Linked DNA regions of Mus musculus. The protein of the gene in region 2 interacts with the protein of the main gene of each other region in a pairwise test. Links are inferred from orthologs where the notes say so. Each region holds a gene or a part of one and is shown on either strand. Other genes may lie near its edges.

Evidence for each region.
Region 1: the proteins of Nutm1 (region 2) and Lmo2 interact in binary tests that used the Homo sapiens proteins (3 or more experiments, as listed by UniProt). The two-hybrid records come from large-scale screens. The link is inferred for Mus musculus from reciprocal best matches to the Homo sapiens genes NUTM1 and LMO2.
Region 3: the proteins of Nutm1 (region 2) and P4ha3 interact in binary tests that used the Homo sapiens proteins (3 or more experiments, as listed by UniProt). The two-hybrid records come from large-scale screens. The link is inferred for Mus musculus from reciprocal best matches to the Homo sapiens genes NUTM1 and P4HA3.
Region 4: the proteins of Nutm1 (region 2) and Morn4 interact in binary tests that used the Homo sapiens proteins (3 or more experiments, as listed by UniProt). The two-hybrid records come from large-scale screens. The link is inferred for Mus musculus from reciprocal best matches to the Homo sapiens genes NUTM1 and MORN4.
Region 5: the proteins of Nutm1 (region 2) and Ric8a interact in binary tests that used the Homo sapiens proteins (3 or more experiments, as listed by UniProt). The link is inferred for Mus musculus from reciprocal best matches to the Homo sapiens genes NUTM1 and RIC8A.
Region 6: the proteins of Nutm1 (region 2) and Zmynd10 interact in binary tests that used the Homo sapiens proteins (3 or more experiments, as listed by UniProt). The two-hybrid records come from large-scale screens. The link is inferred for Mus musculus from reciprocal best matches to the Homo sapiens genes NUTM1 and ZMYND10.
Region 7: the proteins of Nutm1 (region 2) and Zfp277 interact in a two-hybrid assay, tested with the Homo sapiens proteins (2 studies listed by BioGRID). The two-hybrid records come from large-scale screens. The link is inferred for Mus musculus from reciprocal best matches to the Homo sapiens genes NUTM1 and ZNF277.

The regions. Positions count from the first base shown.
Region 1 is NC_000068.7:103,969,111-103,973,086, reverse strand, and holds the start of Lmo2 (rhombotin-2), read right to left. Parts: upstream 2,801-3,976; 5' UTR 2,729-2,800; coding exon of another isoform or gene 2,722-2,728; 5' UTR 2,626-2,721; coding exon 2,375-2,625; intron 1-2,374. UniProt on the Homo sapiens protein: Acts with TAL1/SCL to regulate red blood cell development. Also acts with LDB1 to maintain erythroid precursors in an immature state.
Region 2 is NC_000068.7:112,249,292-112,252,791, forward strand, and holds part of Nutm1 (NUT family member 1), read right to left. Parts: intron 2,585-3,500; coding exon 2,445-2,584; intron 2,032-2,444; coding exon 1,754-2,031; intron 1,385-1,753; coding exon 1,268-1,384; intron 889-1,267; coding exon 1-888. UniProt on the Homo sapiens protein: Plays a role in the regulation of proliferation. Regulates TERT expression by modulating SP1 binding to TERT promoter binding sites.
Region 3 is NC_000073.6:100,284,111-100,288,319, reverse strand, and holds the start of P4ha3 (prolyl 4-hydroxylase subunit alpha-3 precursor), read right to left. Parts: upstream 2,801-4,209; 5' UTR 2,788-2,800; coding exon 2,594-2,787; intron 1-2,593. UniProt on the Homo sapiens protein: Catalyzes the post-translational formation of 4-hydroxyproline in -Xaa-Pro-Gly- sequences in collagens and other proteins.
Region 4 is NC_000085.6:42,083,571-42,087,770, forward strand, and holds the start of Morn4 (MORN repeat-containing protein 4), read right to left. Parts: upstream 2,801-4,200; 5' UTR 2,627-2,800; intron 1-2,626. UniProt on the Homo sapiens protein: Plays a role in promoting axonal degeneration following neuronal injury by toxic insult or trauma.
Region 5 is NC_000073.6:140,856,034-140,860,196, forward strand, and holds the start of Ric8a (synembryn-A), read left to right. Parts: upstream 1-1,363; 5' UTR 1,364-1,437; coding exon 1,438-1,521; intron 1,522-1,811; coding exon 1,812-1,859; intron 1,860-1,948; coding exon 1,949-2,539; intron 2,540-2,829; coding exon 2,830-2,921; intron 2,922-3,405; coding exon 3,406-3,556; intron 3,557-4,163. Other genes in the region: Bet1l (BET1-like protein), read right to left, coding at 188-206.
Region 6 is NC_000075.6:107,545,967-107,550,103, reverse strand, and holds the start of Zmynd10 (zinc finger MYND domain-containing protein 10), read right to left. Parts: upstream 2,801-4,137; 5' UTR 2,648-2,800; coding exon 2,556-2,647; exon of another isoform or gene 2,427-2,555; coding exon of another isoform or gene 2,305-2,426; coding exon 2,196-2,304; exon of another isoform or gene 2,105-2,195; intron 1,435-2,104; coding exon 1,318-1,434; intron 1,225-1,317; coding exon 1,171-1,224; intron 1,077-1,170; coding exon 939-1,076; coding exon of another isoform or gene 825-938; coding exon 736-824; intron 639-735; coding exon 538-638; intron 230-537; coding exon 57-229; intron 1-56. UniProt on the Homo sapiens protein: Plays a role in axonemal structure organization and motility. Involved in axonemal pre-assembly of inner and outer dynein arms (IDA and ODA, respectively) for proper axoneme building for cilia motility.
Region 7 is NC_000078.6:40,327,291-40,330,790, forward strand, and holds part of Zfp277 (zinc finger protein 277), read right to left. Parts: intron 2,306-3,500; coding exon 2,195-2,305; intron 1,518-2,194; coding exon 1,385-1,517; intron 1-1,384. UniProt on the Homo sapiens protein: Probable transcription factor. Involved in modulation of cellular senescence; represses transcription of the tumor suppressor gene INK4A/ARF, perhaps acting via the Polycomb group (PcG) complex PRC1.

The DNA.
Region 1 (3,976 bases), about 8.3 Mb from region 2:
GAAGCAGAAGGGAACACCAATTGCATGGTGAAGGATATCTGTGTTCATGAATACTGGCTTCCTGTGCACACGCTACCTTTGCACGTGCCTAGGCAAGGACCGATCTGCATCTGGAGATCCAAGCTGGTAAAGACCCAAGCTGGCTTTGAGCAAGCACTCAGTGAGGCCGCTGGCAGGAGAGCTAGTTGCACGAGAAAGAGACACGAGGGTCTGAGAACAACAGATAAAGACAGGACAAGATTCGGACTCGGTCTATCTTTCTATAATTAATGACATGCCATTACCTCTGTTGAACAATTCAAGCCAAAGACTAAATGAGATTTACCTTAAGTTAATATTTGATATTCTCCCGCCAGCCTGTCCCAAATATGACACCTGAGTATCTCTTTAGCTTTGATTTTCTGGCAAAAATTTCTCAACAATTTCCCAGAAAGAGGGGAAATGTTCCACAGACATTTCCCACGGGGCTTGTCCATCTTCAGTTACAGCCTTCCTTTACCGGACACATACTGCAGGAAAGATGAACTACCAGTGGACCTCCTGAACTAGGTAGGTGCTCACTACTACAGCTATGAGATACCTTTCAGTTTTCTAGTCTGAGGCAATAAAAGGCACCAACTTTAGCAAGAGTAAACTTCCTTTACAGAACACAATTCCCAGGCTGGAGAGAAGGCTCAGCTGTTTAAGGATGATTTCTGTTCTTCCAAAGGACCCAAGTTGGAGTCTCCACACCCAAATCAGATGGCTCACAACTACCTGTGACTCCCACTCTAGGGAGATCCTTCACCTCTAGCCTCCAGGGGACCTGAGCTTAGGTGCACACACACATTCATGTAATTAGTAATTTTTTTAAGAAGCCAAACTCTGTAGATTCAACATCTAATAAAGGATTAGTGGTTAGGTTGTGCTGATAGGGAGCCAGTAAACAGCAGTTCACCAGACTGCCTCCCCAACTGTGTAATCTTATGTCTTGTCCAATTTCTGAAAACTCGGGGCCCAGATGTAATTCTAAGCTTATGCTTAAAAGGGAACAAGCTATAGACACTGACTCTTTAAAGGGTTGTTGTTTCTCTCCTGAGATTTTAAGGAAGCTGGTCCTCTTGCCAACAAACCTAGCTCCTTTCTGAGCTAGTGTCTTAACCTTCAAGACTGAAGAGTGATGTTTATATTCTTGCTGGATCGTGGGACTTCCTGTGTTTTATGAGAACACGCTGGGTTTTTATGCTGCTGGCTGAGGGTAAAGCCCAGGTAAATAAACACCACAGAAGGCTGAAATTGAAGGGGGGGGTGAATAGGAAAACTCCAGCAGGAAAGCACAATTCTTTTAAAGCAGGAAAAGAAAAGAAAAGGGGGGCAAAACCCCACCAAAACAAATGCATCTTAAAAGCCCAAACGGACAAGTCATTAGCAGTGCCTTTGGTCTTGTGTTAACAAATCCCTTCAAAGGATTAGATGAGGACTTCAAAGGAATAAAAACTCAAAACCAGACAGCTAATGACTCTTAAAAGGGCATTTGTGTGGACGTGGAAAAAAAAAAACCGATACCTTCGTTCCTGGCTCCCCTTGTTAAGGCTAGAGAATGGGCTAGGAGGGTACAGGCTGTGGAATGGGGAAGGGAGGGGGGGCTGTTCTTTGCAAACCAGCGCAAAGCTCAGAGCACTAGACAGTACATGCTCATTAAAGCTCTGGTTCGCTGACACACACACACACAGCCCTTCTGAGAGTTCGATGAGATTCTGCTCCCTAGAAAAACATACTAGACAGAAAAAAAAATGTGCACTAACTTTCGAGGTTCACATGCCCGCACTAGGAAACTCAGGGGAGGGGCGAACATGTACCGGGAGGAACGACAGATTAGCAATTCTAGAAGTCTCTGGAGGCCAGAACCAGTTCCCAGGTGGACAAGCGGACCTCATCAACTGTCCGCTCTACTCCGGGCCTGGTAGGAGAGTCGACGTCGGAGACCCCGGGATGTTCTAGTTGGGATGCCCCCCTTTCCAAGGCCAAATGGACAAAAAGGAAGGGAACCTGGAGAGGGTGGGACGAAAAGGGAGAAGGCAGAATCTTGTCCTCCACTCTCCCTGCCCTGCACCTGTGCCTCAGAGCTCCGGGTGCCAGCTCCTGGGCAAACTTTCTGGCCCTGGTAAAGGTTTGGGGAGCTTTCCAGATAGCCCGGAGCGGTCCGCAGGGTCGATCCCAGTTACAGCTTCCGCCGCCCAGTCCCTCTCGGTGTTTCCAGAGTCACCCGCGAGGAAAGAGAACCCCTGGGAGACGGAGGGATCAAGGGCACGCTGCGGGCGCGCACCTGGAGTCAGCCCCTCGCGCCTAGCCTGGGACCCTGTTTGGGGTGCCGGAACAGAAGCGCCACACTTACTCAGACGGGTCCAGGCTCTTCCTTTCGATGGCCGAGGACATTGGGGAGGGGGGCGGCGTGCCGGGCGGCGGGGGCGCTCCCTTTGTGGCGCGTGGCTGGCTAGCTGCCTGGACTCGGACCCCCTCGGGTGCTCGGGCGCCGCCGCTCCTGCGCCTCCTCTTGCTCGGTCGCTCCGCTGGCGAGCTCGCCCCTCCACGCTCAAGGACAGTCACCGCGCTCCCTTCAAACGCCAAAGAGAGAGAGCGAATCATCCAGCTGCCCGGCGCGCGGCGGCCAAGGCAGGGGGCCGGGGAGCAGCCCGGCCTCCCTCCGGTGGCTGCGACAGCTGCCGCTGCTCAGGACTTAACCTTCCATCCCGGTCCCGCTGCCGTCACCACAGCCGCCGCCGCCGCCGCCCGGTCCCGATCGCGCGCAGTAGCCGGCTCCGCCCGGTCGCCCCGAGCCCCTCGCACCTTCGCCGGGGTCGGGGCGCCGGGGGCAGTGAGGGGGCGGCGGCCTGGGGGCGGGGAGCTGACCGCGCGGCTCTCCCCAGGCTCCCTCCTCTCTCGCGAAGGTCTATTTTCGCTCAGCTTCCCTCTGTCTCTGGTTTCATTTCCTTTTTCCTGATCACGATTCAAATACAATAGAAGGAAATCACATTTAAAGAGACAGCTGCCCGCCCCCTCCCCCCTTTTTTTCTTCCTTTTTTTTTTTTTTTTTAAACGGGGCTCCTGGGGATTAGCAATCCAAATAGCGGCGGCGGCGGCGGCGGCGGCGGCAGCGGCAGCAGCAGCAACGGCGACAGCGGCAGCCCTGACTTGGCTTCTTAAAAGGGCCCGCGGCAGAGACCGAGAGTCTCCCCTGAGCCCCTCTCCTGGGGCAAGAATCCCGCTGCCACTAAACTGTCTTTTTCAGAGTTCCCCTTCTTCTGCCTTTCCCTTTGGCCTCAGGCTGAAAGTAACCACTCGCCCGTTCCAGCAGGAAAGAAAAGACAAGAATGTGAAATAAGCACCTGCAGAAATGCAAGCGTTGCTAATGGCTGGCTAGCGCGCGCTCGTCTCGGGTTCGAGGTCCCAAGTCCACAGTCGTGGTGCTCTGCGATGCCCGAGACAGTGCGGCTCTGCTGGCGGCAAGCTAGTAGCTGCGACTGCTCTCCAGAGAGGGGCGCAAGCTGTGTGACCAGGAACCTCACGCGCTAGGTGCGCCTGAGCAGAGCTGGGGGCAGCTAATCCCGCAGGGAGGGTGTCTGGGAGGGACCACGTTGTCCGGGTCTCCTCTCCATCTGCTGGCGGCAGAATTCCCTCCCCTAGCCTCTTTCAAAGAGCGAACTCCAGCGGTGAGGCTGGCCCTCTCTGTAAAGTATCAGCAGCAATACTTGCTTGGACCGGAGGAAGTTCCTTCCCGATAAAAAGACTTTCAGTTATTACTTACTATTATTTTGTCTTATATAAAACAAAGAAAAGGGCAGGTTTCTCCTTCAAGCTTGAAGACAAGTTCTAGAAGGAGAAAGAAATACAGAAGGGAAGAGATGGATTCCAGCTAGCTACTTTTCAGGAGAAAAACCTAGGTCCCCCTGGGCCTTGAGTTCCTTGAAACTGAGTCCAGAAATGATCGTTCAAGGCC
Region 2 (3,500 bases):
TCTAGAATTCAATGCCTGGTCCTCTCTTCTGCATGCCTCATCTTGGATGCTGTCTATGACAGTCTCAATTTGTAAGGGAAGCTCTAAACCTACAGCACCCATGTCACTGCTCAGCCACAGTCCTGGGCTGAGAGAAACCCTGTCTAGGTTGCCAGCTGCTCCAGGGGAATGGTTTTGACTGTAACTCTGAAGCATACCAGGACCTCTGTCATCTCCCCGCACGGCCCTTGAAGAGCCCTTCTGGGAAACCACTGAAGGTGGTTCTCTTCCTCGAGTAAGCATCCCAGCTCCCCCGATCCGCTTTCCTATCTGCAATGTCAAAGCCTGTTTTTCTAACCCAAGTCCTTGCAGAGGAACTGGCTCTGTAAGTCCAACATCAAAATTGGGGGCTCTCATGTGTTGGGGATCTTCTTGCCAACAACAAGGTAAAACCTCTGGATTCCTATCTGCTACTGGGTAGTACCCAGGGGACCCAGTCCTTCCCAGGTGGCCATCCTGAGTTGCAGATAGCTGTTTTATAGCCTTCCCAGACATTTTTCTCTCCATACCCAAGAGTACTGGCATCCCCTGTGAAGCTGTGAGCTCTAGCTGTACATCCCAGCTGCTAGGGGATGGCAGATTATTTCCATCCTTGTGAATCCCCGCTGGACCACCTAGTGTTTGTTCCTGCCCACCATGTATTTCTCTTGCCTGCTTGCCTGGAGAAGCAGATTTTCCAATGCGAACAATGCCCGCAGCCCCCTGAAGCCCAGGTGAGGGCCGACGCCTTTGACCCCCGTCTTCATCTTCATCAGAAACAGAAGGACTTGAGTCTGACTGAGCTCCGCTGCAACTTGGAGGTGTCTGTGCATCTTCCTCCTCCAAGGCCAAGAGTCGTTTCTGGACCAGCTGGAAGGGAATGGACAAATGCCAGTTCTATACATGGTTAGGAGAAGAGGTGGCTGAGTGGGTGATAGGAGATGGTAGATAGTGTGGGGAAGAAAAGCAAGTGTTTTAAGTGATGGTGTCAAAGATAGATACTGTAGCTCTCTCTGCGTTAGAGCTGTGAGCCTTTCCTCGTTCCCTCCCTACTTGCTTTAGACTGTAGGCATAATGCTTTTGTGCACTGTGTGAAGGTTATCCTTGTGTTATTCAACTGCTGATTTCTATGCCCTTATATGACCCAAAGCCCAAACCTAAATTCTCTCACAAACAGTATCAAGATATCAAAGGGTTATACAAAATCAGCCAGGATCCTTTGCCTGTGTTCTTTGCCTCCCAAGTTTACCTGGGCAAGATTCAGTCCTTCTTCTTGCTCTAGTTCCTCAAGTAAAGACAAAGGATCTCTCTGCTCTTCTGGAGACAGCAGATCTGCCAGAAACTGAGGGTGTATGACTGCCTCCACCTGGGGAACAGAAAGGAGAGTGGTGTAAATCTTGATATGGAGTGATCTGTAAGCCCAGGTGCTCTAGAGACAAATCTATGAGGCCCATAGCCCATAGAGACAAACTTTAATGCTGGAGTTTGTTACAAAAATTTGTGGTAGTCCTTACCATCAGCTACCTACCTGTATACCTATTTCCAAATTATAGAATGGAGCCTACTGACTTTCACAGAACCCCAGATGGCTGGTGCCCCACAGTATCCAACTCATAGATATCTATTCAAAATTATAGGATGGAGGCTCCTACCACATGCAGAACCCCAGAGAGCTGATGCCTGATAGTGCCTCGCCCCCAAATACCAGAAATTAGCCATTGTAGACCTAGCTCACCTTGGAGACAAAGACTTCCTGAGAACAGAGTTCATCAATGTAGCTCAGAAGACTTGGATCTGGATACATCCCTGCACCTTCCTGCTGCCCCTCCTCCTCCTCTTCTGTCTTCCCAGTGTCCACGTAGCTTCCCATCAGCCCATCCATGATGTCAACATATTCTTGCACAGCTTCAGGTGGGATCTCTTTGGGTGCCTCGGGAACAGGAGGCCTTTGAGGTTTGCGTTGCCGCCGCCGAGGAGCCCGAGTCTTAGAGGCTGCCTTCTTAGGGATGTACACTGAGGGAAGAGGTGGAGAGTGGGGAAGGAGCCTTGGTATCTACTTCCCAGTGATACTTGGAAGGGAAGAAATTCGGGTTCCAGAATGGGATTGAGGTGTTAGGGGAGAAAACATAAAAAGCTGGAGGGGGTGTGAGAGAAAACACGGTTAGAAATCTTTCCACACACCTTGACATCCCAACAAACCATCTGATCCAACGCCATGTCCGATAAAGGATAGGACTCATGCACAATCCAGATGAGAGAGTAGTTTACTTGGCCAAGATCAATAGCTCATTCAAGACAAAAGGAGCTAACACCCCAGCTTCCTAGGGGGCATTGCATTTGGCTTATAACAATGTCACTCCCAGGAAAGACAGACAGAAGCAAAAGCAGAGTTTCCTAATCCTCGTCTGCACTGCGGGTGGCCTTACCTGGCTGCTGGCAAGCCTCAGGGACCATGGACCCTGGAGGATCAAGTTTCAAAGGGGCTATAGGGGACAGACCCGGGGAGCCATTCATCAACTGTGCATTCTGTATCTGTGTTTCTTCCTCGGCCTCAAACTCCATGAACCTGCAAGGGTAAAGAAAGACTGGGCAGAGCTGGAGAGATGGCTCAGTGATTCAAATCCCTGCACGCACATGGCAGCTCACAATTGTCTGTAACTGTAAGATCTGACACTCTCACACAGACATACATGCAGGCAAAACACCAAGGTACATAAAATGGAAAAACAATTCACATTTTTTTAAAAAAAAGTACAGTCTGTAATAAGGAGAACCCAGTCCATCAGTAACACAGACGCCAGGCAGCATCCACACATGGCCAAGAAACCAAGCACCCTCCATTTGGCTCAATACTGTTGAAGTTGGGTCAGTCAGGGTAAGCTGCTCACAGGTAGGTAGTAGCCTAGTGACAGTTCTGAGAAATGCCATTATATTGTCCCTTCACCTTCAGTGGTTATTCAAGAAGCTAAATAAGGAAACTGGTGGTATACAGTTTGGATAACTCTCCAGGACAAAGTGATACCCTTTACTTCTGCTGCCTATCAATCTCACCCAGTGTCCTGATTAATTGCTACTTTATATAAGCTTGGTGAATCCATATAAGCATGGCCCATGTAACAGTCTAGAGGGACACTCCAAAGGGTTGTTCCTGATGGCCTCATCTGCCCCTTTCTACAACTGAAAATGATGGCGGAAGCAGAGCCCACCAGAGTGCAAAGGCTGGAACAGGTCCTCAAGGGTAACAGAGGGGAAAAAAAAAAGATATACTTGGAGGAAATGATTTCTTCCCCAGTTGCTGTGCTAAGGATTCTCACTATGTTGCCCAGGCTGGCTTTGAACTCCTGGCCTCAAATAGTACTCCCATGTCAGCCCTGGGGCCATGTGTGCTGACTCACAACACGGCCAACCAAAGTTACTTTTTAAGACATGGCTATCCTGTCGAAATGGGGAATAAAGAATCAGGAGACCACTCTGGGTATACC
Region 3 (4,209 bases), on a different chromosome or scaffold from region 2:
TCTGAGCAAACAGAGACTGAGTTACAGGACGCTGAAGGCCAACCTCAGGCTTTCCTAAATGCCTTTTTGCTTTAACAAATGCTGCTGAGAGTGGAAAATCAGATCCTTTCCTTCAAGAATCTGCACATAAAATTTGCAACCCAATCCCTGCAGTTAGCTTCCTGGGGAGGTTATTCAGCCGCAAGCCATGGGCCATGTCAATTCGATACTTTTCTCCCTTGAAACTGAGAGATGGCTTTGCCTTCATCCTTCTGAGACCTTCTGAATGCTTCATTCTAAGCTCAGAAATCACTCCAACTCTTTTACTCTTTGTGTTTCTTAAATGGCACCAACAAAACAAACTAGACTACCCCCCCTCCCCCATGCAGACTGTGTGCTCTACTGGGTACTCGGTGATGGGGGCTCTAATTAGAACATTTTCTATCCATTAGCAGGTAGAGCAGCCTCAGCAGCCAAAGCCACTTCATTTCCTGATTTAGAAACTCAAAGTATATAAAACAGGGGCATTAGAAATAACATTTCAACTTATATAAAATCAACAGATTGAATCTATAGAAAAGTGAGCTGAAACTACCCCAATTTTTAAAAAATGATTTAAAAAATCATTTTTAAAAAGTAAACACTTCACGCTGGCTTTCGAGCATGACCAGGGGACAGAATCACAGCCTCTAGAGCATCAGATTGCCTGTGATGAGACTAAATGTTCATAATCATCTGAGAAACGGATCTGGGATTTTAAAAATTCCCTTTTTAATCTTTTAGAATCCCAGCTAGTGCTTCCATTGGCAGGGTTAATTTAATACTTAGTCACTGAGCAGCGGTGGTCTGCTCTTGTGTTGCTTGGTTCACAGCAGTCTTCCTGCCTCAGCCTCCCCACTGCGCCGAGTCTACTTGATCAGCCAGCCTTGAAGAGTCATAGGGAGTTAACATTTTTTCAGTAACTTACTACATGTTAAGCTCAATGATAAATAACTTTACCTGGACACAATCGTTCCAAGAACCCTATGGGAATAACCATTAAAGCATCATTGTTTAGATTAGGAAACTAAAGCTTAAAGATATAACACGGTCAGAGTCAAAAATTCAGAGACCTGTTGAGCTCCTGAATCTAGACTCTGAGTCACTTGGTACCCACAGTGTTCCACACACTTTCTCCTGCATTGGCTTTCTCCTCTTCCTCCTCTTCTTTTCCTCCTCCTCCATCTCCTCCTCCTCTCCTTTTTCCCTTCTTCCTCCTCTTCCCTTTTTTCTCCTCCTCCTCCTCCTTTTTTTTAGTATAGACAGGTGTCTTTTATTAGCTTTTCCTAAACTTGTCTCCTGCTTACAGCCTGTTTTTCTTAGTGTAAGAATGTAATCTGCAGGTTTTTTTTTTTTAACAAACCAATTTGATACTGCAACTCAAACAAATGCGTGTCTAACTACAAGCCATCAGTTGCCACCAATGGCATTTGAAGAGCAGACTGCAGGATTAAGCCAACCCTTACGAAACTGGCTGTCCTTCATGACCATTTCTTATAAACATTTGTGGGAGTGGAGCAGGGCGGGTTGGCATGGGAATGGATTTGAAATTTAAAGTTACTGGAAATCAAATGATGTGCTTCTGCTCTGTCTAGACAAGTTTGTAAGATCAATTGGATTTATGTGGAAACAACTGTGCCTTATAGTCCGTGGGCTTCTCAGTGTCCAAAGCAAAGAAGGCACAAGACATGTTGGTATCATATGCAAGCATTCCTTTTTCATCTTGGACACTGATTAGTGCTCTAAGTCCCACACTTTACAACAGTTTACCTTCCAGGATCTAACTCTACTTTGCTGACTGCATAAAAAATAATGTTGGCTGTGTGTTTGTGCACACTACTCCCAGTATTACCCCGTGTGAAGTAGTTTTTCACAGTGTTTTCTTTGGAGTCAGACATTTTCACATACATACAACCTCTCAGCTACTACTTACATTCAGAGAACTTTTACCCATGGAAAAAGAAATAAGAGCTATAATGGTCACCACAGCATTCTACTGTGTCAGCAGTAACTTGACAAGAAGTCCAAGGTCATTTGCTGCTTGACACAGTATTTGTGAGATCCAACTGGACTCTAGAATCTCCATGCTACCTACACTTTTTCACAGTGTATCAACTTGGACATGTGAAGGTGGATGGGGGGTGGTGTCACACCCCGGGGTGTGTGTTTGTGTGTGACAGAGACAGAGAGTGAGAGACAGAGAGACAGGGAGAGACAGAGAAACAGAAAGAGACAGAGACACGGACAAACACACATACATACAGACACATAGACACAGAGAGAGACAGAGACCGGAACAGAGAGACAGAGACACACACACAAAGAGGCAGAGAGACAGGCACAGAGACAAAGAGACAGACACAGACAGACAGACAGACAGACACAGAGAGTGAGAGAGAGGGAGAGAGAGAGAGAGAGAGAGAGAGAGAGAGAGAGTGACACAGAACTCCTCATTCCCCTTCAAAGTGTCTCAGGGTCCCCACCACATGACAGTTGGGTCTGGAAGTCACTTTGGGCCTCAGTTACTCCTCACCCTCAGTCGCTGAGCATCCCGGCTCCCTGGAGACGCCCTCACCTGGTCAAGTCGCGCAGCCGCGCCTCCTCGCCGCGCAGGTAGCGCCTCAGTGTCCCCAGCAGCCTGCGCTCGGGCGCCAGGGCGCGCGCCACGCTGGTCAGCGCGGAGAACGTGTCCTCCCGCCCCGTGGCCGCCGCGGGGTCTCCCCCGAGCGCCAGCAGCGCCAGCAGAGCCAGCCGCGCCCCTGGGCCCATCGCAGGGTCGCGCGTCCCTCCGCGCTCTCGCCCGGCGCCGCCCCGGCCCGCCCGCCCGCCCGCAGCCTTCCGTCGCCCGCCCTTGGCCGCCTCCGTCCCCTCAGCACTGAATTCCTTAGTGCCTGGCCCGCCGCTAACTCCACACTGATTCCACCGTGCCTGTCACATTTGGGGGAACTGAGGCGAGCGCGGGTGAGCAGTGATTTCTCTAGTTACAGCCGTGCTGAGCCATCATCCAAATTCCTCCTGTGGGACAGGGGAGGACACAAAAACCTCTGGATTATGAGGGGAACTCCAAAGGGTGACACAGCATGGTGACAGAAGTGCAGGTGGCTGGGGCAGAGGGGTAAAGTCTTCACAGAGGACAGGACCTCAGGTGATCTTGAAAGATGGCTAGGACTTACAGAAGCTGAAACTCTAGGATCGAGTCACTACAGAGTCACACAAAAATACCATCATTATATTCTACTAGGCTGCTTGTTTCTTTCACCCCGCTATCCCTTTTGCCCAGCAATGTTTATTCATTTACTCATTCATTTAAGTGTTCAGTAACATCTGTGCTATAGTAGGTGCAGATGCAGCCCGCTGCTCATAAAGGGAAATGGAAATGTAAACCACCATAAAAACACAAAATGGGCAACCACAGGCTGTGTGCAATGGGTGAGGACCTCATCCCCAAAGAGGGGCTTCCCCTGGCATGCTTTGATGGGGAGAGAGCTTCACAGAGTCAATGTGTGTAGTTCTAACAGTATCTTGACTTTAGGCCATCCTGGATTATCCTGGTGAGCTCAACGCAGTTGCCAAGGTCCTTTTAAAAAGGCAAAGAAAAAGCCGGGCGGTGGTGGCCCACGCCTTTAATCCCAGCACTTGGGAGGCAGAGAAACCCTGTCTCGAAAAACAAACAAACAAACGGCAAAGAAAGATACAGGACAATAACAGCCAAATCAGAGACTTGATGATGCTGTGTTGCGACTTTGAAAATGGATAAACGGTCTGTGAGTAACAGGTTGTAGGTAGCTTCTAGAAGGTTGAGAAGGCTGGGGGACAGATCTTTCCTAGTCTGCAGGAAGAACAGATCTGCCAATACCTTGATTTTATCTCGTGACACCTATTCGTTACGGTTTGAATTTGAAATGAACCTCACAGTTTCATCCTCTTGAATACTTGGTAAAAACCAAGCTATGGAGCTTTGGGGAAGTAGGGCTTACATACTCCACTAGGTTCACTAAGGCTTCACTGCTGGCCAGAGCCATCAGGTTTCTGTCTGCTGGATGTGAGCACCGGCCACATATGCTAGCCACCAGACGGGGCAAGACCTGCCAACACACCTTCCTTTTCATGATGGGCTCCAGGAGTCAAAGAAATCTTTTCTCTGTTACAGTGTGTCTGTCAGATATCTGGTCACAGTGCTGAAAAAGTCTA
Region 4 (4,200 bases), on a different chromosome or scaffold from region 2:
ACTCATGGACCTCAGGCTATGGCTGAATACATTTGGCTAGGAAATGCAACATGTGTCCAAACAGCTGATACTGTCACTACCTGGGACAGTGTTTGAATTTTTAACTAATGAATCTTGTAACTATCAGTATTAATTAATAGCTCCACAGCCACGAGGCCAAGAGGGAATTTCACCGGTAACCAAGATTATCCATAGTTACTGAGACAAATATAGTTTTTTTGTTTTTTGTTGTTGTTGTTTTGTTTTTATTTTATTTTATTATTATTATTTATTTATTTATTTATTTATTTTGGCTTTTTCGAGACAGGGTTTCTCTGCATAGCCCTGGCTGTCCTGGAACTCACTCTGTAGACCAGGCTGGCCTCAAACTCAGAAATCTGCCTGCCTCTGCCTCCCGAGTGCTGGGATTAAAGGCGTGCGCCACCATCGTCTGGCTCAAATATAGTTTAATAAAGTGTAGCCAGTACTAGTGGAAAAAAGCCCAACACTTTAATAACGGACACAGATCGATGTTCACAATACTTGCTTATATGATCCTGCTGAAGAAAATTGATGCCCCAAGCTTTCAAGCTATACACGGAAGAATACAGTCACAAACCAAGACGACTCACATTCCCACAGAGCCCTTTCTATACTCGTGATAGACAAGCTGCAAAAGACCAGTCCGAAACATAATCTAAAAGTACTATTCTGTCTCTGTAATCCGAAGTCCTAGGACCGTGCAAAGGAGACCATATCCTTTGATATTTTACTTAAAAAAAAAAAAAATCCATGGATGGCTCCAAATAAAACCCAAAGACAGGGCTGGTGAGATGGCTCAGCGGGTAAGAGCACCCGATAAGAAGTTGTTTTCATTTTTTAAAAGTGCTTTAAATTCATGTGTTTCAATGTGAACCTGCATGAGTGTATGTATGCTACGTGTGTACAAGAGCCCATGGAAGCCCGAGAGGACTTTAGATGCCCTGGTACTGGAGTTACAGGTGCTGCGAGCCACCATGTAGGTGCTAAGAACTAATTCCTGGCTAGTAAACACTATTCACTATTGCTGAGCCATTTCTTGTGTGTCTCATTGTCTCCCCACCCCTCATAAAACCAAGCTTACTAAAGAACATTTATGTATTTGCAGCAACTTTTGTCTAAATTAAGAAGTTTTTGTTTGTTTTTTGAAAGAGGATCTATGTAGTCCTTGTCCTGGAACTCACTATGTAGACCAGGCTGGCCTTGAACTCACAAAGATCTACCTTTGCGTCCTAAGGCTCCACCATGTTCAGCTTAAATTAAGAAGTTTTAAAACAAAATAACCGGCTGGTGAGATGGCTCAGTGGGTAAGAGCACCCGACTGTTCTTCCGAAGGTCCAGAGTTCAAATCCCAGCAACCACATGGTGGCTCACAACCATCCGTAAGGAGATCTGACTCCCTCTTCTGGAGTGTCTGAAGACAGCTACAATGTACTTCCATATAATAAATAAATAAATAAATAAATTAAATTAAAAAAAAAAGAGTGTACAAGTCACCGGGCAATGGTGGCACATGCCTTTAAAAAAAAAAAACAAAAAAAAAAAAACAAAATAACAACAGTTCCCCCCTCCAATCTACGAATAATCATATCCCAGTTAGAGACTGTTTGGAAGTAGCCACCCAAACTACTCACACAATCTCCAAAATGTCCCCAAAACCACTTTCTTGGGTTGGCAATCTTTTAGTTATAAAGGAAGCAACCAAAAACAAACAAACAAACAAACAAAAAAAACAAAAAAAGGGAAGCAACCTTGGGTTTTTAGAACCCTAAGAGGAGAAAAAAAATGAAAGCTTTGATGAACAAATATTAGGAAACTGGAAATACTGTTTTATAAAATGTGTTTTTAAATGAATATGAAATAATTAGGTTTTGAACTTTATAATTCGAATCCCCTTCCTAGCTGGAAAGTAAACAGGGGCATTGTTACTATAAGCAGGTCTTATTTAGGAAGAATGTGGGATAGTTAGATGCAAAAAGATGAAAAGAGAACACTGGTACAGGAAGGTTTTTAAAAACACGATGAACCAAGAGTGGTGGACTCTCCGAAGTAATATTGTCTGGACACTATTTTATGCCAAGGGAAAGGAGAATGCCTGTGCTGGGCTCTAATAAAGCGAAGTTACTCAGGTTGGTACCTAAGTTGTTTGTGGATGCGGAATTGCAGAGATGACAATCCATTTCCCAAGCCTCAGTATGTGGGACCTCTCCCTACCTGTGGCACAGACGCGCCCTAGATTAAACAAAGCCCCAGACTTTCACCAGGCAACCCAGTCTTCCACTGCATTTTTCATCCCAGCCCGGCTCCGTCCTTTTTTGGGGGGGTCGGCCCCCACCACACAGGCTCTTCAGGCTCTCATGGGTCTGGCATTCCCTCCAGACACAGCCTGGCACACCCCTCTCGATAACCAGTGTTCTGTGTTCTCCGGGGCTACAACCTCTGGATCGAAATTCCAAACCCAATTTTGGGGTCCCACTCACAGCCACCTTCTGGTCAGTACAGCCAGGACAGAGGCTCGCTCCCTAGCCCAGTCACCTGCTTGCCGCCTTAGTCCCTACCTGGTGGACCGCACTCCCAGGTCCTCCTCCCACCCGCGTCGCGAGCCTACCTGAGCTTGGCTTCTGGGCGACGACTGTCACGCCCCAACGCGATGCGGGTCTCCAGCAGCTAGGATCTTTGCTGCTCTGGGCTCCCAACTGCCACTCTCCCCTCCGCCACCTCCACCCGCCTCAGCCACACTGGACGCCGCCATCCCTGACGGGCCGCACTGGGCACAATTCCTGCTGTTCATTGGCTGTTACCTAGGCAACCGCGAGCAACGCCACTCCCCATTGGTCCAGCCCTCTTTCGTGCCATCTTTGTGAGGGGCCCAGTGTTTTGGGAGTCTGGGCCAAAGATCTGAAAGAGAGGTGGGGCTGAGCCGGCTGTCCAATCTCATTAGTCCCAACAGAAAACAAGGACCCAGGTTTCCCCTCTCCAGAGACCTCCAGGCATAAACTTTAATCCTAAATAAGGCTGAACAAGTGTTCAAAGTGGCTACCCTCTCTAAAGGTTGTGATTTTTAGATGCATGAACAACTCCACCGCTAAGTATGAAGAGAAAACCTAAACCGTGCTTTAGAAGCTCAGCTTTGTAATTAATGATGCGCTGCACATTTGCATTCATAGGGAATCACTGTGTTCCACGTCTTCTGTATTTAAAATATATTGCTATTATTGGAGCAAATCTTCCCAAATACTGTTCCCGAATGTCTGTATAGCTGTATGTTTATTTATTGAAGTGCGTGTGGGCAGCAAGTTCTTCAGGGCTTGGGAAGCCAGGGTTGTCCGTCGTTGCTTCTCTCATGGAACTCATATGACATGTGTGAGGCATTGAAAGACAAAGCAAATGGCTTCAAATAGCTTTTTGGATTGGGATTTCTTCAGCTGCAGGTTAGAAAATGGTAATGATGAAAATAAGGGTGGCTTTTCAGGACCTGTATGAGAACATAACGCCAAAAGAACGGTAGTTTGAAGTTAATTTGAAAAGATTTGATTTCTGTGTTCAAATCCTATCTTCGCTACTTACAAATTGTGTATGTTTTTGAGTAACTTAGTGAGCTCTCTGGCCTGTAAAATAAGATCAGACCAATAAATTCAATATGGTATTAATAATACTCACTAGGTAATATAAGCTAAACTGTGGAATAGATTGTAGATTAAAGTGCAGTCATTGAGTCGGGCGTGGTGGCGCACGCCTTTGATCCCAGCACTCGGAAGGCAGAGGCAGGCAGATTTCTGAGTTTGAGGCCAGCCTGGTCTACAAAGTGAGTTCCAGGACAGCCAGGGCTATACAGAGAAACCCTGTCTCAAAACAAAACAAAACAAATAAGTGCAGTCATTGAAAAATAGAATGTAAAGAAAGGGATCTCTTTAGAACTTGTGTTAGGAAATATGAAGAAATGAGATTAAATCACAGATTATGTGAGACCAAATTATGGAAAGACCTATAAATTTGCAACAACAACAACAAAAGCTTGCAAAATGTAGTTTCTTTGGCCAGCAAGATGGTTTGTTGGTTTGTTGGTAAGAACAAATTACCTTGTCTCCTTGGGACACAGCATCCAACATCATTGGAGTTATAATGGGAGTTAGTGAAGCGAATCCATGTAAGATACAACGCCCAGCACATACTTAGCACTGG
Region 5 (4,163 bases), on a different chromosome or scaffold from region 2:
ACCACACACAAAACTGATGGCATGCCGGCTTGGGTTCCAAGGCAGCGCCAGGCGAAATCCGGCCCTGTTTTTCCAGGGATACGTAAGCGCCACCCCACGCAGGTCCTTCCACCGAGAAACGAGCGATGTCTCCAGCTCCAGACTTAGACTTCCCCTCCTACCTCTACTGCCTTTCAAGTGCTCTCACCTCGAGTCCAATCTGCCATCGCGCCCTCCAGGGTCCCACTCAGGGAATTCGCAGCACAGCAACGGACGTGGCACCAGTACCCGGGTCTTCCGGTTCCGCCTCCGGGCTAATAACTTCCGGGAGAAGGTTCTGAAGCGGAAGAAACAGACCTGGAGTGCTTCTCGGGAATGTAAATAAGGGAAGGGCGGGCCACCAGCATTCGGACCCACGGATTGGTCAGCAATATTAGTCCTGCGCTGTGGGTGTTACTCGGAGCAGGTGTTCAGACCCAAATTTGGAGCAGAGGCTAGGAACCAGCTCAGTAAATCAGTCGGATGCCTCTGGCGCTGCTAAATCCAACTGGATGGGGAGGACAGGCAGACCCGAAAGAGACTGGTGAAGGAGACGGCCGGGGCCTGCCACTGAGTAGGGGCAGAGCCGGTTAGCACGGCGGGTGACATCATCCACTGGAGCACTGTTTGTATGTGTCACTGTGGGGCACCGACTCAGCTAAGTGGCGTGCGGACCTGGCTCCCCGCTACACAGCGCTCCTACGCTTCTAACCTCAGACACGCCTCGGCTGGCCGCCCCTCCGTTGCTCCTCTCGCGGGAGTGGCTTTTCCACGGGTGTTCTTCACTTCCTTCTCTGCAATTTTCTTGAGAATAACCGTATTACTTTGGTGGCTATTCTTTTTAGATAGGTCTGCTAGTTTCTGCCTCTCGAGTGCTGGGATTTAAGAAGGCGTGCGTCACTATGCCCGGCTAACCACGTGCATTATTTTGACCATCCAAGTCGTTGTACTTCTCTTTCCCTATTCCCTATGGAAGATGAGCTCCAAGGCCTGGATCGCGAGAATCGTCTTCCCCAACTGATTAAGCGGCCAGGAGCCGGCGCTCCCTTTTTTATCACAGTACGGGGACAAGAGCGTAAAGAGGACGGTCCACGCGCGGGCCAAGCCACACCCCACTCCCCACCCTCCCATCCCACCCCACCCCCCGCCTGCCAGGAACTCGGGCTAGAGAGGAGGGCTCAAAAGGAGGACACTGCCTGGCTGGTTAGCTAGCATCGCCGCTCCAAGACTAGCCGCTCAGCGACCACAGCCGGGTTGCTCCACCTTAAGTCGGAGGCGCCTGTACACACCCTTGGGTTCGGCTGCTCTCCCAGCATCCCTCACGCGTGGACGCCGGGCTTCCGGACCTGGGCGGAGCCCCGGGGTTTGGCCGATTGCGTCTTCCCAGCCCAAGCCTTCCAGCACCCGGTGCCAGGGGCCATGGAGCCCCGGGCAGTTGCGGATGCCTTGGAGACCGGAGAGGAAGATGCGGTGACAGAAGCTCTGCGGTCGTTCAACCGGGAGGTGAGAGGCATCCGGCTGCCGAGGAAATTTCAGGAAGAGAGGAAGCAGGGGTGTGCGCGCAACTCGGCTGGGGTGTGCGTGCGAGTGGTGGCAGGGAGCACGGCGGTGGGTGGTGGGCTGGTCCCTCGGGTGGCTCTGTGGTGGCGTGTGGTGGGGCAGGTGTATGGGAGGCTAGGGTGGGCCTTGCCTTAAGGTTCAGAGCGATGGATGCTGCTTCAGAGGTCTGCTCTGACTCGAGGAGCACGGGTCCTACCTGCATGTGGATCTGAGCCTCCTGGGTCTCCCTGCAGCATTCTCAGAGCTTCACCTTCGATGATGCCCAGCAGGAGGACAGGAAGGTAGGTGTCAGCCCCAAGGGCTCCTAGGGCAGGCACGGGCTGACCCCAAGAAGAGGGCCTAGTGGAACCACTTTTGTTCGACCCCACAGAGACTCGCAAAGCTACTGGTCTCCGTCCTGGAGCAGGGCTTGTCACCAAAGCACCGTGTCACCTGGCTGCAGACTATCCGAATCCTATCCCGAGACCGCAGCTGCCTGGACTCATTTGCCAGCCGCCAGAGCTTACATGCACTAGCCTGCTATGCTGACATTACCGTCTCAGAGGAACCCATCCCACAGTCCCCAGACATGGATGTCCTCCTCGAGTCTCTCAAATGCCTGTGTAATCTTGTGCTCAGCAGTCCAACAGCACAGATGCTAGCAGCAGAGGCTCGCCTGGTGGTGAGGCTAGCGGAGCGTGTGGGACTGTACCGCAAGAGGAGCTATCCCCACGAAGTCCAGTTCTTTGACTTGAGGCTCCTTTTCCTGCTAACAGCCCTTCGCACGGATGTGCGCCAGCAACTGTTTCAGGAGCTGCACGGTGTACGCCTGCTGACTGATGCGCTGGAACTAACACTGGGCGTGGCCCCCAAAGAAAACCCTCCGGTGATGCTTCCAGCCCAAGAGACGGAGAGGGCCATGGAGATCCTCAAAGTGCTCTTTAATATCACCTTTGACTCTGTCAAGAGGGAAGTTGATGAGGTAGGTTGGAAGTCTTGGCTGAGACTCAGTTCGGGTGGGACAGTTTGCTTCCCTTTGTACCTCAGCTTGCAGGGTATCAGATATGGCGAGGACTAGAGGATGGTGTAGGCGGGAACTCAGGGAAGGTGCCTGAGCCGCACTGTGCATGGGGTTGCAGGTGGGTATTCTCCACAGTGCTTCAGGTGGCCAAAAGCACCACATGTGCTGTGCACAGCGTCTAGGGATCAACTCCATGTGGCCACAAGAACAGGGGTTCGATCTCACAGGAGCCCCTTTCTGTCTTTGGTTAGGAAGATGCTGCCCTTTACCGGTACCTGGGGACTCTTCTGCGGCACTGCGTGATGGTTGAAGCTGCTGGGGACCGCACAGAGGAGTTCCACGGGTGAGGGGTAGGGCTCACAATGTTGGGGACGGCAAGAGTTCCTAGGTATGGGTACAGAAGTCCTTAACCCTAGTTGTGAATCAGAAGCACTTGGGGGCCCAGGCCCCACCTTTGACTTCATCAGGGGAATGGGGCACCAGTGTTGTTTCCAGAGAGCCTAGGTAACTCAGGTATGGCTAAGAGAAGAGCTATGAACTTAGAGACAGGGCCTTAGGCGGAGGCAGTATGGTCTCTTGCTGGTGCCTCTGCTCATCTCAGGTTCGAGAGATTGTTTGGCATCTCAGCTCAGACATAATGGCCCAGATAGCGTCTGCAGAATCTCCCCACCAAATTTGAGTTGGGGTACCACCTGCCCTTGCCTATAGTCTATTGCTTTCAGTGCAACCCTTCGAGCCCATCCATGTGTACCCCAGGAGAAGGGCCAGGGAGTGTATCTGTGCTAAATATAATTACTGTGTCGAGGCCTCTGTGTGTCTGTCCCCAGCCACACGGTGAATCTCCTGGGGAACTTGCCCCTCAAGTGTTTGGATGTGCTTCTGGCCCTGGAGCTCCACGAAGGATCCTTAGAGTTCATGGGAGTTAACATGGATGTGATCAGTGCCCTCCTCGCCTTCCTAGAGAAACGTCTGCACCAGGTAGGACTGGGGGCCTGCTACGTGGACACCCAGGGGCTCGGGCACCTGTTGTGACTGCTGTTTCTGAACCATTGGTACTGGCGAGTAGAACTCAGCTTGACGATATATCGTGGACAGTTGCTCTGACTGCTCTGTGGTGCAGCTAGACGGTGGCCGCTCAGTCAGGCCCTCGCAGAAGCCTGCAGATACACTGTGTGTGTGAGCCCTCCTGCTGCTGATTACCAGAGGAGAGCAAGCTTCTCGGGTCCCAAGGTGAAAGGTAGCCCTTAGGTCTCTGTGGCTCTGCTAAGTGGTTCTCAGAAGCCTTTAGTTCCCGCTTCCAACCGTCAGGCTCCTCGTGTTTCTATACATGGGCAGCCAGAGGCGACATTGTCCCTCTGCATTTTTTTGGTTTTGTTTTGTTTTGTTTTGTTTTCAAGACAGGGTTTCTCTGTGTAACTCTGGCTGTCCTGGAACTCACTCTGTAGACCAGGCTGGCCTCAGACTCACAGAGATCTGTCTGCCTCTGTCCCCTGAGTGCTGGGATTAAAGATGTGTACCGATACCACCGTCACCCCACCCCCACCCCCCAGCTGTCCCTCTGCATCTTAAAGAGGCATAACCACAA
Region 6 (4,137 bases), on a different chromosome or scaffold from region 2:
GGGGTGGGTCTGGGCAGGGGGGCAGTGGGGCTGGGCGGGGTCATTGAGTTCTCCACCTTAAGCAGCTGTCCCTTGGCAAAGCTTGTAAGGCAGTAACGGGCTCGGGCCTCAGGGCTGAGCAGTAGATTGTACAGGGCGATCCATACTTGCCCATCCAGTTTATTCAGCTTTTGCTGCTCTGAGGGGGCCACCGTCTGCCATCGGCCACTCTCAAAATGCTGCAGCTTGCCTGGGGGAGGAGAAGGAGCCCACCGGATGCCGGTGGGTGTTGTGTTATCTTTGAGAGTGTGTGGTCCGGAGGACTGTCCACCACTGCCTGGCAAGGTTAGAAAGCCTGGGCCACCAGACGTCAGAACAAGGTGGAGTCTTCAACAAATGGTTCACAGGACTTGTCTGCCTCAGAGTCAAACTCTAGTCCCATCTCGGGTGAGGTATCCCAGAATCCTAAATGTGTACCCTGTACCCTTCACACTGATCCTGAAGGGTGTTCTGGAAGCAGCCAGTTACATCTTAGGCAAATGGGAGGGGGAGCCTTACCTCCTACCCGCCGGCTCCAGGGACTGTGCTCCAGCAGTTCCACCAAGAGGCAGGGCAAGTTGTGAGTCCTGAGCATGCGGTTCAGTGTGCTCAGGGAAAGGCTAGAGGTAGGGTAGAAGGGTGGTCAGCAGAGGCCACGGGCCAGGACACACAGCCCCTTGTTGTGTGCTCGCCCCCGGGCCTTGGAGGGTGGCCCACCTATCCACGCAGTCTGTGATGTAGCGAAGCACCGAGAGGGCTTTCAGGGATATCTCAAATTCCATCATCTCCGCCTGCTTTTGCAGCTCCTGATGGTGCGGGAGAGGGGGGTAGGGGCACAGGCACATAGCATTCACCCTGCCTGTGGAGGCTGGAGAGAACTCACATCGAGATTTTGTTAAGTCCAGGAAACCGTAGCTTACTTGCATAGGGGTACTGTCCTGGAACTGTTCTTCTTCAGACAGGTCACCACCGCCTTTCCGGGCCACTAGCAGTATCAGCTTGCGGTGGCAATAGTCTACTAGGTCCAAGACCTTGTCATCAGCTGACTCACACACCTCCTGGGGGGGTTCAGGGAGGGGATATTTCTGGGGTTCGATGCCCTCCCCGGCCGACATAGCCCACCAGGCTCAGGCCTGCAGAGTAGTGTCTCACCTTGTGGAAGAACACTGTCTCTAGGAGATTGATGATGGAGGCCTCATGGTGTACCTGTCGAAGAGGACGGGGCTGGGCTGAGAGGGAGAGACAGGGACTGGCTGTTAGCTATCTTTCTCGGCTCAGGACTCTGAGGGCCCAGCTCACCACCATGTATATGGGGAAGGTATTCTGGGGCTTGAAGTCCTCCAGCCGGCACAGCACAGGGAAAACCTTCTGTTTCCACATCTCCACCGCAATCAGCTCCTCCACCAGCGTTGGGATCTGCGGAGGACGGGGGAGAAGCAGGGGTGAAATGGCCCTGCCTTGGTCCCTCAGCTTTCCTGTCCCAGCTTTAGCCTGTCTTAAGTCTCCAACTCTCTTGGGTTTCCTCTGAATGGCCTTTACTGCCATTGCCCTCTTGCACCTTACCCCACCCTCCGTCCAGGGATACCCCACTTTAGGGCAGCTCTGCTCTTCCTGTCCTTATTCTGGTCTTTGTCACCTGGCCTTACTCTTACTTCAGCCCTTTACTGAGCCCTGTTCCTAGACCAATCCCTGCTACCCAGCTCTGCCTTTCTCTTGCAGGAGAACTAGGGCCGCCCTTGGCCCAGCCTCCAGCCAGGCATCTTTCCCGGCTTCTACTTTCTCCTAGTGTGCTACCTTCCCCATTTGGAAAGCCTCACTTCCTCCTTAGAGAGGATCTCTTTGGCCTTACAGTCAATTCAGGCTCATGTCAGCACTTGAGCACTCCCCCTGGAGCCTAGGATCCATGGCTCCATCCACTCTCGCATCCACTGAGGGTACAATAGGAAATGTAGCCAGCCAGGTACAGCGAGGCATGCCTGCAGCCCCGGCACTTGGGAGGCAGACACAGTTAGGCTAATGGCCATCTGGGCTACAGATCAACACCTTATCTCAAAATAAAACAAACATATTTTTCTTTCCCACTTAGGTGTACCAGGCCTGAAGGAAGAACAGGTGCTGCCTAGTGTCCCCAAGAGGTACAATAGAAGGCAGGAATCCTGCCTGGGACCTGGACGTACCTTCCCATGGTTGATTAGCAGTTCCTGGATGGGCTCAGCCTGGCTGATAGTTGCATCAAGGATGGCTTGCATGTTCAGCTTCTCCAGGCTCTCATGCTGCTTATTCCACCTGCCCCCGAAGGGATGTATGTACATTGGGTGACCAGATGTGCAACGGGAGTGAGGGTGGGGTTGGATCCTACTGAAGACTACCATGATCCTGTCCTGGGGCCAGAGGGGCACGGGGGCCATACGCTTCTATCTCAGAGAGCTTTGCCTACCCACCTGGAGGCCCCTCCACACTGGCAACCCCTTCTCCAATGTCAGTTCCAAGCTCCTCCACTAAAAGACCAGTGACTCCACCTGTGGCGGCTGCCTCACCCTTCAGAGCCCATCTCCCGAAGCTGGAAGCTGCGCAGGCCCCGCACCAGCACCTCAGCCTCCCCAGGCAGCAGCAGTTCCAGGTCACCCATGCCAGGGGCTAAGATTCCTTTGGTTTTGGGAAGCAACCCGAATAGGGAAAACTGAAACACTTAGGACTACAGAGTCCAGCGGTAGGACCAAAGTCTTGGGACAGGGCAGTTGCCAAGCCGTTGAAGCGCTTGAGTCGTCGTCGCCATGGAAACGAGGGAGCTTGGCGCCTGCGTAGTTTTGTCTCGATACCGCTCTTGCCACGCCTACCTCACCGCCAATAAGCAGCCCCAGATGCCAGACCCACTCGCCACACCTCCCCAGGGCTTGCACAGCTGTGAGTGTGCAACTCCTGCAGCTGCACTGTCTTAGCCCCTCAATAGGGTAGCTACCGCGGTCTCAGCAGCTGAGTCTTTCAGTTTTTCGTTTTTATGACATAGGCTGGCGTGGAACTTCCTATTTATACCGAGCTGGCCTTCAAATCAAAGGGTTCCACTGGCCTCTGTGTGCTCTGTCTTTCTAGTGCTGAAATTAAGGCATGCGTTACCAGGCTCAGGCCCGCAGCCAGGAGTCCTAATGATGTGCACCTAACATACCTCCCTCCAGAATGGCGCTGGCTCCCAAAATACCAGACCACAGCGGCTTACCAGGAAGAACCTTCCTCCCGCCCTCTCTCCTACCCACGTGCTTCATTTTTTTTGTCCCATTCTCTTTTATTTTAAAAACGTTTGTGTGTGAGCCATCTCCCCAGAACCCCATCCTCTCTTTGAGATGGATTCTCATTATATAGCCAAGACCGACACGGAGCTCGCTATAGAGCCAGGGCTGGTTTAAGCTTTCCTTCTTCTTGGTCGGCTTCCCCAGTGTTGTGGATTGAGGCGTGCACCACCGTGCTTGTTTTCCACGTCCCAACCTCATGAGCTTTCCCTGAGTTCCTCCTACAGGCTTTCTGAGACAGGGTTTGACTATGTCAGCCAGGCTGGCTTTAACTCTGTATAGTCCAAGCTGTCTTTGAACTAATTCACTTGTGTCAGCCTCCTTAGTGTTAGCATCACAAGCATGCGCCACCATGTTTGGGCCCTTGCCTTATTTCTTCTGGAATAGTCTTACTCCTTCAAGGCTCAGTCACTCAGATCCTCCTTGGCCATCTAATACAGAGCAATTTTTGCTCCTGTCCCAATATATTATATCCATCTTACCTGATTCTAGTTCTTTCGGTTTATAGGCCAGAGCAGTGCTCATAGCTGAGAACTTGCCTGTCTAGCATGCACAGAGCCTTGGCTTCAGTCCCCAGGACTGCATACGTGGGGTGTGGGAACATAAATCTATAATCCTAATTAACTAACTCAGGAGACCAAGGCAGGAGAATCAGAAGTTCAAATCAGGAAGTTCCAGGCCACTCTGTGCTTTATAACAGCCCGTCTTAGCTCCACCTCGTACTGACCGCCAAAAAATAAAAATAAAAAAACAAACAAACAAAAAGTTAAAAATCTAAGTGTGGCCAGGCATTCCAGCGCCCACCTTTAATCCCAGCACTCAGAGGCAGAGGTAG
Region 7 (3,500 bases), on a different chromosome or scaffold from region 2:
TAGCAGAACACGGGTGTGTGGATCCTTTGAAGTCTCCCTCCAAGGTAGAGACTCCAGCTATACAGTGTTCTGCTAGTTCACAGCTCGTGCATATTAGTTTAAAGGGCCCCGGAAGGAGAACTAGTAAATTGCTTTCATGGTTCGCTACAGCAGCTGCATACCAGTGCTGGCATCCACTCCCTGTTGGAGGGGGCTGGGCCCTGAAGCAGCACTGGCTCTAGGAAGTCATGACTGAATGACTTGAAGAGAAGATGGAAGGACTCAGAGGGTGCCTTTGCTGGTTGTAAAACATTTGTAGAAAACCTTGGCAAGTTCCCAGAGCCAATCTTTAAGCAAATGCTAAACTCACTTCTTGAAGAGAATTTCTGTTTAACACTATATGACTAAGTTAAAACACACAAAAAGTGCACATGAGAGCAGGGACTTCCAACACAGATCTCTCTACCCAACATAGGAAGTGGCTGATAATATGCCTTTAGTCTTTCCAAATCATCAGGCTTCGATTTTAATGTACTTATATTGAGAGGGGGAAGAACAGGGAATTTCAGCATGAGAACTTTCATCCTTCATTGTTCTATAGCACTTGTAATCCTTTTCTAAGTATGGGTAGGACCCCTCATTACATACAATGAAAAAGCTGGAGGACTGAGGCAGGCCTGGTGGCATTCTCCAGTCATTATGTCAGTCCAAAATCCCCTCCCAGAATTTTAAATAACTCTAGGAATGTTGTCTCTAACTGAATATCACTGCTTGTCCTCAAAGGATGAATCTACAGTGGGCAGCAGACAGGATAGAAACTTTATACCTTAAAACATTTAAAATCCGTGGCATGGGCCACCAATCAAAAATATTTGCTTAATAAAATGGAACAGTTTTTCTGAAACTTTCCTTAAAGAGAAGTTGGCAGACAATGATACAGATGCACATTTTATTTTGAGGATAAGGGGAGGATCATTTAGTGGGGAGATGGGAGAAGAGTTAAGAAACTGCTTTTAAAAAATTATCTTGTGTGGCACCTAGCACACTCAATACTCAATAAGGGCTTTTAAAAGCAGAGTACATAAACCCTTGGCTTCAAGCTGCCAGATAGCACCAAACGGGGAATGGTTTGTATATAATGAAATACTGTTTGTTTTTTTCAGTTGCTATCACACTGAATTCTAGAGATGCATCTGTCATCTTTACTGCAGAAACATCTGGCAAGCCAAAATGCAACCCATCAAATTTGTTTTGTAAACCACTGCTAACTACTTCTTGATAATGCCTCTCATTGCCTTTTAACCTTTGTGTCAATTCATTCATTATTCAGACATTTGTTGGTTTGTAGGTAGATTTTGATTGTGGTATTGTAGCCAAATTTTAAACTATAAGCAGCAAGACTTACCAAGTAATTGATGACATAGAATCGGTCATATTCTCTGTTTTTTGGATTGATCCTACGATGCTGCTTTTTTCTCATGTGATCTTTAAGGGTGTTTTTGTCTCTGAAGGTCTTCTCACAGTACAAACACTGTAAACTAAAGGAAATATACACACACTGCTAAACATATCCCTTAGACAATTGTTGCAGAACCCTATTTTAATTTTACATTTATTTATTTGTGTTACAATAAACGAGGTTAAAACGGTTTCTCGGTGAATCCCCTGTCCCTTTAGCTACTTGGCTTTGTAGAAAGCATGGTATGGTATGGTTTGCTTTGTAGTAGTCTAAGTTGGCCAACTTGATGTCTAGTTCAAACTGTGGCAAAGACTGTTCGGTTTCTAGACTGCGCAAGCAATGTGACCAGGCTCCATCTGCTCCTAAAGCCCTCCCTTCCCTGTCACAATGGTTTGCATGCCTTGGGACAATATGCCAAAATAAACCCTGCCTTCTCGAAGATTTGACCTACCAGGTATCGGGTCACAGCAATGAGAAAAGTACAGAATATTGATGATGAGTATATTTTTTTATGATGTAAATGGTCAATGTTTGGCATAAAGCATGCATTTAAATGCAATAATTTCAAAACTCACTAGAAGGCAATATAATCTAGATAAAAGCTACATAATACCAAAAAAGGGTAAAATCCCACAGTATAAGAAATGAGTAACTTTCATTTAATTCTAAATTAAATTAACTTATTCAAATAACTTTTAAAAATTCAGAAGTGTCTAATATTAAATTAGGTTTAGGCCGTGTTTTGCGAATACGTACTTGTCCAGTTTCTTTTGCAATGTGCATAGGAATTCAGCGCAATTTACAATGTTGTCTGGCAAACCAATGTTGAAAGCATGTTCTCTGGCCATGTGGTTCAACAGTACAGATCTGTGAAGGAATACGAACAATTTCTATTATTTACAAATAATATAGGAGCAAATAAGGCTAGGAATAGCATTTATATAACAACCACCAATCAGAGGATAAACAAGTATTAGATACAGACATAAACACTTGAGCCTCGCTAAGATGGCTATGCTAAACAATATGGAAATCCACATGCTTGCTTTCTAACATTGGAAGGGCTAGATTCTGTAGGAACATCAGGTCCTATTCTTCTAGTTTGTTTTTGTTTTTTTGAGAAAAGGTTTCTCTGTATAGCCCTGGCTGTCCTGGAACTCACTCTGTAGACCAGGTTGGCTTTAAACTCAGATCTGCTTACCACTGCGTGGTGGGGTGGGGGTGGGAGTAGGGGTGGGGTGGGGTCCTACTCTTTCATCTAGTAAATAAATGATGCTGCCTCTGCTTTTTCAACTCACTATGGAAATGATGCTTAATTTTAGGCACTAATGTTACTGGGATAAGGAATAGTAGAGAACAAGGAAAGCATTTGGCATGTGTGGTGGTGAGGGTGTTTTCACAGGAATGTTGGGCATCTGAAAGTATAGGACTTGAAATGAACTCCCCTGATTCTGAGCCCTGGGAATTCTGCAAGGAGCGAGTCTGTCTCTAACATTTACAAAGTCCACCTTGGGAGGGCTTGGCCTCCATTATGGATAAGGCAACTCTCCTACTAAATTCTATGTATTCCCTTATCACACATGGCGGTTCTGTTCTCTGGGAAATCCTGACAAATACAATGGAGAAGAGGCAAATGGTTAATGGACATGGTTAATGAGATCATGGACATTCACCTAGGACAGCACCACATGGAGATTACGAACCTACTGTTAATAGATGTTACATACAAGGGTCATGACAGCCTGGAGGCCCAATTATCAGCTTGTAGACTATCTTATGCTCAAAAAGGAAACTTATTTCTATATTTTAATTGACTTTTATGGGTAAACTATAATGATGTATACATTTATTAATTATCATATGATATTTTAGAGATACATAGATATTGTAGAGTTGCTTACGTTATATCTGCTCTAACATAGGTCACTCAAACTTCTTTCTTTAGCTTTTTGTGGCACTAGCTAATGTCACTCTATTGGGCAACACCAGCATACCTCTTACTGCTATTTAACTATGATGCTCACGCACCAATTGACTCTGCCTTTTCCACTACTCTCCTAGG